Schizosaccharomyces pombe: one gene and its partner. The protein of the gene in region 2 purifies or fractionates together with the protein of the main gene of each other region. This does not show direct contact. Each region holds a gene or a part of one and is shown on either strand. Other genes may lie near its edges. The genes, in order: ade4 and ssp2.

What was found.
Region 1: the proteins of ssp2 (region 2) and ade4 purify together in Schizosaccharomyces pombe (affinity purification with mass spectrometry, with the first as the bait; one study listed by BioGRID). This does not show direct contact.

The regions. Positions count from the first base shown.
Region 1 is NC_003424.3:5,363,240-5,368,241, reverse strand, and holds ade4 (amidophosphoribosyltransferase Ade4), read left to right. Parts: upstream 1-1,823; 5' UTR 1,824-1,902; intron 1,903-1,944; exon of another isoform or gene 1,945-2,019; intron 2,020-2,119; exon of another isoform or gene 2,120-2,277; 5' UTR 2,278-2,280; coding exon 2,281-3,882; 3' UTR 3,883-4,254; downstream 4,255-5,002. Other genes in the region: translation initiation factor eIF2B gamma subunit tif223, read right to left, coding at 1-24, 151-421, 546-694; protein Csi2, read left to right, coding at 4,529-5,002.
Region 2 is NC_003421.2:1,928,685-1,934,161, reverse strand, and holds ssp2 (serine/threonine protein kinase AMPK catalytic (alpha) subunit Ssp2), read left to right. Parts: upstream 1-2,187; 5' UTR 2,188-2,304; coding exon 2,305-2,452; intron 2,453-2,504; coding exon 2,505-2,737; intron 2,738-2,945; coding exon 2,946-3,297; intron 3,298-3,347; coding exon 3,348-4,345; 3' UTR 4,346-4,972; downstream 4,973-5,477. UniProt on the Schizosaccharomyces pombe protein: Serine/threonine protein kinase essential for release from glucose repression via the phosphorylation of scr1 upon glucose deprivation.

The DNA of each region.
Region 1 (5,002 bases), on a different chromosome or scaffold from region 2:
ACAACTGAGACACACAAAGTCATTCTGGTGGGTATCGGTTAGCATTTTTTGTGACTTTAAGACGAGTAATTAAATTGCAGAATGAGAGAGAAAAGATCAAAAAGTCTAAGAACACATGCATATCTACTTATACATAAAAATAAATCATACCTTTATAAGATGGGATACAGCACGAAGAGCATCGGCAGAGCTTTTAGAATCATCTAAAATAGTCGGTGCTTCCACGTGAATACGCATATGTCCCTCGTAGCCAGATCGTAACCAAGCATTGATATGGGCTTCCGCTTCTTCCATGCAAATAAGAATAGCAGAAGTAAATCCAGCAGCTTCAAGCCAATATAATGGGTAGTGAAGCATCGGTTTATTGCCGATAGGTAATAAAGCCTTGGGAAGTGCATCGCTTCCAGTCAAAGGATATAAACTAAAACATGGTTAGTATTTTCTTATTGTTATTTTATCTTTTTTAAGTGTTGATGAAGATAATATGTGCGAAGTCATCATTATCCAAATCGTTAAGTAGTCAGTACTACACTTGTTTGTTTTACCTATTGCCAAATCCTGCAAAAACAACAGCTTGAAATTCAATCGGAATAGACTGTAATTGAATATTCCCCCGATTTCGTCCACCAGAAATAGGTCCAAGGATTGAAGGGCTACTGGCTAAAGGAAGTGCAGCATGCTCATACAACGACATTGTGAGATGTTGTTCTTCAAGGCGTTGGATGCTTTTACAAAAGGTTTTTACCTAAAAGGATGCTTTGAAGCCAAAATCTTTTATAACCTGATAGAAGACGAATTATTGGGTTTTTTTGCAGTACGCCAATATTTGATGAAGATGGAAAACCTTACTTTCCTAGATCCCTACTAACGAGCCAAAAGTTTACACGTTACACATCACTATCTGAAATAAAAATGTGCTGAATTTATATTTGTGTTTAGAAAAATGTATTCATGAAATATGAACTATTGATGATTTTTTTTTAAAATGATTTACCAACTCAAAATGTGGAGCTGCTTGAAAACTAATTATTGCTTTGCACTTGTAATTTTGTTTAATGTGCAATATTAAAAAAGATGTTTTAATAATCAACGATTTATAAATCGGTACGTTTTCGCGATCCTGGTTTATAATCAATCCGATAGTAAAAAATATCAATCAAGCGCTCAGAAAATGATCCTCTGTACACCAATTAAGGAACAAATATTTGAAGCCGGTTAGTAAACTATTATTTTGAGGAATCAGAAGATTAGAGATACAGTACATTGTGTATTGTTTTCATTAGTTTTTTAAGTTTAAAAACCATTGGACTACTGCAATCGTAACAAGTTGAACTAAAAGTTTTGGATTAGATTACCCATAGCTCTCATCTCGGTGATTAATGTATTGTTGTTAACTACCGAGTAAAGAAGGAAGAAAAACCAGAACATTGAAAGATTTTATAACAAATAAATAGTAATGGGATACCTCCGGTAAAGCTCAATAATAAGTTGATGTGTATGCGGCATTACTGTAACACTGCACCACTCTTAACTTCATCGAATTTTTTTTGATATAAGAAGGTTTTATTTAAAGATATATTTTTAAGCTTAAAAAATTTTTTTTGGCAACAAAAATAGCAAACAATTTAATATCATCTACCCTGTCAGCTAAGTAGCAAGCTATACCTGTTACCTATATTAACGTGCGCATATCCCACCTCTCTTTAAGCTTCTATTTAGCGAATCGTTCATCACAATCTTGAGCAGTCATAGTTTCGACTCATACTTCACTATCATTTAAGGCGGACAATAAATTAATTTATACGGCAGCAAAATTTTGCCTTAACAATATACCCAACTACGGTGTTTGTTCAGCGCGTACCTGAAAATCTTTTTTTTTTTGTTTCGTACGCGTTTTAAAAAGTAAGTTAATATAGATATTGATTTTCCAACGCCGCAGTACTTGCCTATGATGATTACCGTTTATTTAGATGCTAGACTTCTGAATTTCATCTTATGTAGCTACAAGGTTTTCTGAGGTCTGCTTAATTGATTAAAATTTTTTATTTTCTGTGATGGTAACATACAACTCATTTTACGGTCGGTACAAAAAAATTGAAATTATATTCCAAGTATTCTCAAACTTTGATTGCTGTCCGAATAGAACAGTCCGACTCATATTATTTTAATCAAGTTATAGCAATTTGACTGGGTGCTGTTTTTTCTTTTGTACATTTAAACCTATCATTTTATTATCTTTTGTATTCAATTCACAACCGAAGCTCTAACAAGTTTTAGAAAATGTGCGGAATTTTGGCGTTAATGCTTGCTGACCCTCATCAACAGGCATGTCCTGAAATTTATGAGGGTCTTTACAGTTTGCAGCATCGGGGTCAAGATGCCGCCGGTATTGTAACCGCTGGAAACAAAGGTCGTCTTTACCAATGCAAGGGATCCGGCATGGTTGCCGATGTTTTTAGTCAGCATCAACTTCGCCAACTCGTAGGTAGTATGGGTATTGGTCATTTGCGCTATCCTACTGCTGGAAGTTGTGCTCACTCTGAAGCACAACCCTTTTATGTTAACTCTCCTTATGGTCTTGTGTTGGGCCATAATGGTAATTTAATTAATGGACCCGAATTACGACGCTTTTTGGACACTGAGGCCCATCGTCATGTAAACACTGGATCTGATTCTGAGCTTTTGCTTAACATCTTTGCTTACGAGCTTCAACGGTTGGATAAATTTCGTATAAACGAAAATGATATTTTCGAAGCTTTGCGTAATGTATACGATCGCGTTAATGGTGGTTATGCATGTGTTGCTATGATCGCAGGCTTGGGTGTTTTGGGATTCCGTGATCCCAATGGCATTCGTCCTTTAGTGATCGGTGAACGTGATACCCCCGAAGGAAAGGATTACATGCTTGCTAGTGAGAGTGTTGTATTGACTCAATTTGGATACCGTACATTCAGAGATATTCGCCCCGGTGAGTGTGTCTTTATTCGTCGTTCCAATAGGGAAGATATACTTGCAGGGTTTAGAGGCCCTCGCTTGTTTTCTCGTCAAATCCTTCCCTGCCTAAGATTTACTCCCGATATATTTGAGTATGTCTATTTCGCTCGTCCCGACTCTGTTATTGACGGATTGTCCGTATACCAATCCCGTTTAAATATGGGTGAAAAGTTAGCGCATACTATAATGAAACGGTTTGGTCCCGATTACATGGAAAAAATTGATGCTGTCATTCCTGTTCCAGATTCTGCTCGAACCAGTGCCCTTGCACTTGCACAGACAGCTCAACTGCCATACGTCGAAGCTTTTATTAAAAACCGATATATTGGTCGTACCTTCATTATGCCAGGTCAACAGATTCGTCGTAAATCGGTTCGTCGTAAATTAAATGTTCAACCTCAAGAGTTTTTTGATAAGAATGTTTTAATTGTGGATGACAGTATTGTTCGTGGTACCACCTCTCGTGAGATCGTTCAAATGGCTAGGGAGTCGGGTGCAAAGAATGTCTATTTGGCTAGTTGCGCTCCTATGATCACTCATCCTCATGTCTACGGTATTGATCTCGCTGATTGTAAGGATCTCATTGCTTATGGAAAAACTGAGGATGAGGTTGCTGAAGCAATTAGTGCCGATGGTGTCATTTATCAAACATTAGAAGATTTATTAGATTCTTGTCGTACGGCTGAGCTGACCGAATTTGAAGTTGGTCTCTTTACTGGCGAATACACTACTGGCGCTAGTAAAGAATATTTAGTCCATCTTGAGCAAATGCGTATTGCTAACAATCGTGCTCGTAAGCATAGCTTTGCAGAAGATGAGGAACGTGAAGCTCCCGAAGACATTTCTCTCCATAACACACATTCAGATGTTACTTTTGATTTTGTTTAATTCCCCAATTTATTCAATGCTTAGTGCTTTATTATAATAACCAATCCTCCATTTACTTTGTCTAGATTGATGCTCTAATCCATTGTTGAATACTAATAGAATGTACAATCGCCCCATCAATGGTTTTTTGGTTGATTTTAATTTCTGAATTTTTGTCCTCTTGAAACTTTTCTTGAAATTAAAGATAATTTCATCAGCTCCTTGTTGTTAATTTTACTTTTTGTTACCAATTAATATATATTGTTTCAATATATAAGTTTACCCATACTCTTTAAGACTATTAGATTATAAGTAGTGTCTGAAAAAAATTTTCTACACACTTTTATAAACATGCAATAATATACAATATTGGTTTTTTTTTTTTGGTCTCTTAACCTTTTCATAAAATGAAACATAATTCAAAGTCTGTTTGTACTATTTGCATAATTATGTTACAAACTCTTTCGACGTTTTTACTTGTATAGTCCACCAACTTCTTCATTTCTTTATATAAATGCGTATAACGGTAAAAGCATTCTTTCGTTTAATCAATAACTAAAAACCTATTAATTTAAGTCTATGTTTCAATACAACTCACTGTTTTGGCGAAACTCGTGTTGAATGATTCCGAAGAGAGGGGATTTCGATATCATCAGTGCCTTTTGTGATGATGTCTAGAAAGCGACAGGCATCCTCTAATGATTTTTTTGACATGGAACAGCTTTTGATAGCGAATGATGCATTAGTGCATCAGAATCACTCTACTCCCAATCATGCAAGCGACGAATTGTCTGTGAACGACCCTTCGCCTTTGAGCCGTGGCCTGCAGTCAGATGTCAACTCAAACATATCTAGAAATATCTCTAACACATTCTTTAAAAAGTCGATCTTTTTCTTCGTTTACTATTGTAAGCAAGCTTTAGAATTTATCAGCACTGTATTTTCCATCATAAAGTTTCTTTTGAACCGTCGAAAAGTTAGCTTTTTACTCTCATTTCTTTTGCTTTTCTCGTTGTTTTTACTAATACCTAATGATGGACGAGTAAATATTAAGTTTTTTTATAAGGATTTCGTAGACAGAATTCCTTTTCGGTTCATTCCTTCAAATTTTAATATAAGTTTTGGCAAACACTTGGAACAA
Region 2 (5,477 bases):
CTTACCTCTTCTTTCTTCAATTAGCTGGCGATTCTCGAGGCTTAAAATCGACGACTGAACCCAGCTCTCTGCCTTAGCATTTTACATTGACATCCTTTACGCAATTAATTAATTATCAGAATATATTCATCTTCCAATGTGCTTTAGTTTTTCGGAAAAATTCATATGTCAATCCTAAAGTCGTTCTTTTTTATTTTAGAGGACCTTTATAAATCTCAAACGCTTCCCAATACTACACACTTTTCTTGTTCTTCTGAATTTCCTCGATTTTTAATATTTTTCTCTTTGAACAAGCAACATGAAAGAGTATCTCCCTAATCCATACCTCAAACTTGGCATTTTGAAATGAACAAAGGATTAGATAGAGTTATACTATACTGAAATAGAGGACGTTTGCAATGTAGAGATCTGCGATGTTTACACGAGGATAGTTATACAATGACTGTGAATGTGTGCGACAAGCAAATCATTGTACTGCAGAAACAAGAATTTGTGTCAAAATTTTTAACTCGTTCATGAATTAAATTCAAAAAGAAAGTAGACTTACTGTTTGCCAAGCAATATGAGGCAAAACTCTTATCCCGTTTGCTGACAACAATACGATAAACATGTTAATTCGCGAGTTGGCAAGGCATTGATATGTCTACATCATTAATGATTTTAGGAAAACATATAATGTCTTTTTGCTTTAATTTCAAATTAAACGAAATTAATGTTTTTATTTACTAAAACGCGAGTTAACAAGAAAGTCATTGCAAATTAGTGTCAGCAATACTACCCTGCGTTAAAATACATTACGTTGTGTATCAGCATGTTTCCTTATGTTAATATAGTTTTAAGACCCGTTTAAATACTGATAATCGCGGATAACTGTTCATCTAGAATGTTTGTGGTTTAATAAATTAGGATGAAATATAAATAGAGCCAAATTGAACTCAGGAACGACATTCACTTATAAGCTAGTTTAGTGATGGGTAACGATTTAACCCATATATCAATACATAAAATTAATTGCTACTCATGATATCTGTATACTATAATTAATAAACCACAACGAAATTTACCGTACTACTACACGTAGCGCAAAGTTTTAATTGCGTAGTTTGACCTAAAGCTAAAAATTTGCGAACTAACTTATGGTGGCATATTCTATTATATAAAAAAGTATCACTTTAAATGTGTTTGCTTAACACCTATAGATCGTGATGCCAGACAGCATGTGAATGAAGAAACCTCTATTCATCGTGTGAAATGAATTTTGTAAATAAAGTCCAATCACATGCTAACTTTACTATTTGAATTACAAAGATGCTTTTTACACGAAACTTGTTTACGAGGATGTCCAAATAAAAAAGCATTCCTGTGATTGTGATTTACCCCAAACAAGCTATAAAATTCGTTCAGGGTAAATTGCGCTGTATTTTTATTGCATTCTTATATTATCATACAAGTTGTTGACTTCGAAAACACTTCCCTGCTTTCTAAAAAAATTTTTATTTGGATTTTGATTGATAGCTTTTCTTAGAATATTAAATTTTTTCGTCAAAGCAAAGACTTTCATGCAAGAAACAGTGATAATTAGTCTGTGTGCCTTGTAAACAAATGAAATCAGTTCAGGCTCGTTATATTCATGATCACTGTTTAAATGTTGCTGAGAAATCACATCCAATATGAAGACTCTTTTCTAATAAAAAGCTTGTTCATTTCCTTTTTTTTGTATTAACTCAACCAGTACTTAATTGTTTACAAACTCAACGAAGATTTGACAAGAGCGTTATAATGCGATACACAACGCTGCACTTAACAACCATCTTATGAAGACTGTGGGGTACGCCGTGTGTTCCATTATATCTGGGATGGGTTCTTTACAAACATAATAAACTGCTTAATCATACTTGGATCATGTTATTACTTATACAGCCAAGATTGAAATGCGAACACTGTAACATGTATAAGTATTTTATTGGAACAGTTAACTGGGTTAGTTAAATAAGAGTTTGCAGTTTGCATTAAAATGAATAGTGTAGTAGAATTTTAATTCATTGAGTAAAATTCCGCATTGTGACGCAACTTCGTTAACTAGTAAAACGGTGGCTTAAAAAACTGTATAGTGTTATTTTAAACGAATTAACGAGTCCAATTCATATCATCTCATGTGACACAACTAAGGATGTATACTATGGCTTTGCCTTCTACCAAATTATATATTTATCTCACACTCTGAAATTTAAGCCTTGCTATTAAGGAAAAAAAGATTTTATCAATAAACTTTCAATATTGGATTTGCCAAGCGAATAGCTGATAATGCAACCGCAGGAGGTTGATTTAATGGAGAACTCAACCATGCGAAATGGAGCAAGAGTTTTACCACCAGAAGCCATATCCAAGCGCCATATCGGCCCTTATATTATAAGGGAAACCCTTGGTGAAGGTTCTTTTGGCAAAGTCAAGCGTAAGATTGCTAATATTTAATATCATGAGAATAGAGACTAACGTACTTGTAGTCGCTACTCATTACAAAACGCAACAGAAAGTTGCTCTCAAGTTTATCTCCCGTCAATTGCTAAAGAAAAGCGATATGCATATGCGTGTGGAGCGTGAAATTTCATACTTGAAGCTTTTGCGACATCCTCATATTATTAAATTGTATGATGTGATAACCACGCCCACAGATATCGTTATGGTAATTGAATATGCAGGTGGTGAATTGTTTGATTATATTGTAGAAAAGAAAAGGGTAAGTGGTGCGGTTTGCGAGTTTTTGTTACAGTAAATTTCAGAAGTGATGTTGGATTGGTTTGATTTGTCAAAATGTACAAGTTATCCGATTGTCTTTTTTAAAAATAGAAAAAGATAAATTGTTTTTGCATCTGAAATGTTGCTGATGAAGGCTTGTTTACAAATTTGAATGCACGAATTTATGTATTTGCTGACTGTTTTTAAAGATGACTGAAGATGAGGGTCGTCGTTTTTTTCAACAAATTATATGTGCAATTGAGTACTGTCACCGTCACAAAATTGTACATCGCGATCTTAAACCCGAAAATTTGTTGTTGGATGACAATCTCAACGTAAAGATTGCTGATTTCGGTTTATCAAATATTATGACAGACGGTAATTTCCTAAAAACGTCCTGTGGCAGTCCAAATTATGCAGCCCCGGAAGTTATCAACGGGAAATTGTATGCTGGTCCAGAAGTCGATGTTTGGAGTTGCGGCATTGTTCTCTATGTGATGTTGGTGGGTCGTCTTCCTTTCGACGATGAATTTATCCCCAATTTGTTTAAAAAAGTTAACAGTATGTTTGGCCACTTTTTTTTCTACTTATCTCTTGCTAAACGTATTTAGGTTGTGTTTATGTTATGCCTGATTTTCTTTCTCCCGGAGCACAATCTTTAATTCGCCGAATGATTGTTGCAGATCCAATGCAGAGGATAACAATTCAGGAAATACGTCGGGACCCTTGGTTCAACGTTAATTTACCCGATTATTTACGTCCTATGGAGGAGGTCCAAGGCTCTTATGCTGATTCACGAATTGTCAGCAAGCTTGGTGAGGCAATGGGGTTCTCGGAGGATTACATTGTCGAAGCTTTACGTTCAGATGAAAATAATGAAGTAAAAGAGGCTTATAACTTGCTACATGAAAATCAAGTAATCCAAGAAAAGAGTCATCTCTCCAAATCAAAACGAGTCGATTCTTTTCTATCTGTATCTCCACCCGCATTTTCAGAATATACTTCTGAATTGCAAAAGAAGTCAAAACAGGAGCTTATCGATCCTACTTTAGAAGGACCGCGTTGGACAGTCTCCGACCCTCCAACATATGCTAAACAAACAATTGACAGTAACATATGTGTCCTTGTGCCTACGGCAGAAAAAAATAAACTTGAAATGAGGACTCTTGCCGATGCTGCTAGTGCTGTGGATACGAGCCAATCCACTCGCAAAAAGAGTCGCCGTAACAAATGGCATTTTGGTGTTCGCTGCCGGGGCGATGCACCTGAAATTTTGTTGGCTGTGTATCGAGCTTTACAACGTGCAGGAGCTCAGTTTACCGTTCCAAAACCAGTAAATGGAAAATATCGATCAGACATGTATACCATTAAAAGTCGTTGGGAAATTCCTCATTGTAAAAGGGAAGGAAAAAATACTTATGCTTATATTGAGTTACAACTTTATGAAGTTATGCCCGGGTGTTTTATGCTAGATGTGAAATCTAATGGTTACAAAGATATTTATTCTCATCCTGAACGAACAGCTGATCATGGCATGGATGATCTTAAGTCATCTTTCCCATTTTTAGATTTGTGTGCTATGCTGGTGTGCAAGTTATTTTCTGCATGATTTATTGTAACTCCCCATTTAACACGCTGTTTTCAAGCATCCCTTAATTACCCATTGTTGAACAAATCTACTCAATAGCAAAGACACATTTTATTTTTTTTACCTTTTCTTTTAGCGAATAAGGTTGCATGAAGATACTAGTGTCCGGATTAATTACCGCCATTTTCTGTTGAAACATTTATGAATTGATGAATTTAGTGCCATTGTATTATCAACGGTTTACAGAAGATTTTGGTTTCACTCGTTAAGTATTTATCTTGTTATAACCATAATACATTTGTTGATATGAAATAATCGAATGACTGAATGTTAGGAGTTTATTGAGTCCTTTTACTTTTCATGCGGGTTTTCTCTGATAACTGAAATTTCCCATTTATCTATATGCATGACGATGTTGATTATATATGCTCACCTTTCTTTTAATAATAAAGAAAACCGTTAAGAAAAAAAAAATTTATACGTTTATGTTAATGTAAACGAGAATCAAATCAAAGACTAGTTAATATGCAATTTTTTTTTGCAATTTAAGAACGACTTGCAGCTGCGACATCGAGGAACTAGTCCATAAAGAGTATTATTTTCCTTTATCTTTACTTTAATTCAAATACAAACCAATTCTATTTAAAATACTATGCTAGCTTGTTTGTAATTAGTTGAACTTTATGAAGAAAGCAATTCCCCCCCCCCCCTTTTTTTTTTAAAAAAAAAATTGTTAAAACATCTGTACATCAAATTTTGCAAATTTCTTTTCATAAAGAATGTCAATAGAAATGTCAACTTTAGTGTGATAAAGAAAAAAGCTAATAAAGAAAGTTATAGACACAAAATGTGAATTATGAAACGAGAACAAATGATTGGTATTCTTAATTTTTGTATGTCTCAATATTTAAATTATTTGAAAATCCTACTATATATTCCTCAAAATTTGTAGAAGGTATTTTCATTCATTTTGTCTAAAGGATTCATACATTCCACAGTTAGTATATAGATTAATTTGTTCCATTCTGCAAAAAATAAATAAAAATACTCCGTTCATAGAACTGGTGCACAGCTTACTCTCAAAAAAAAAAAACAATGTATAAATTATGTTTACTATCTAATAACAGACGTTAATATGAAGACCGGTTAATGT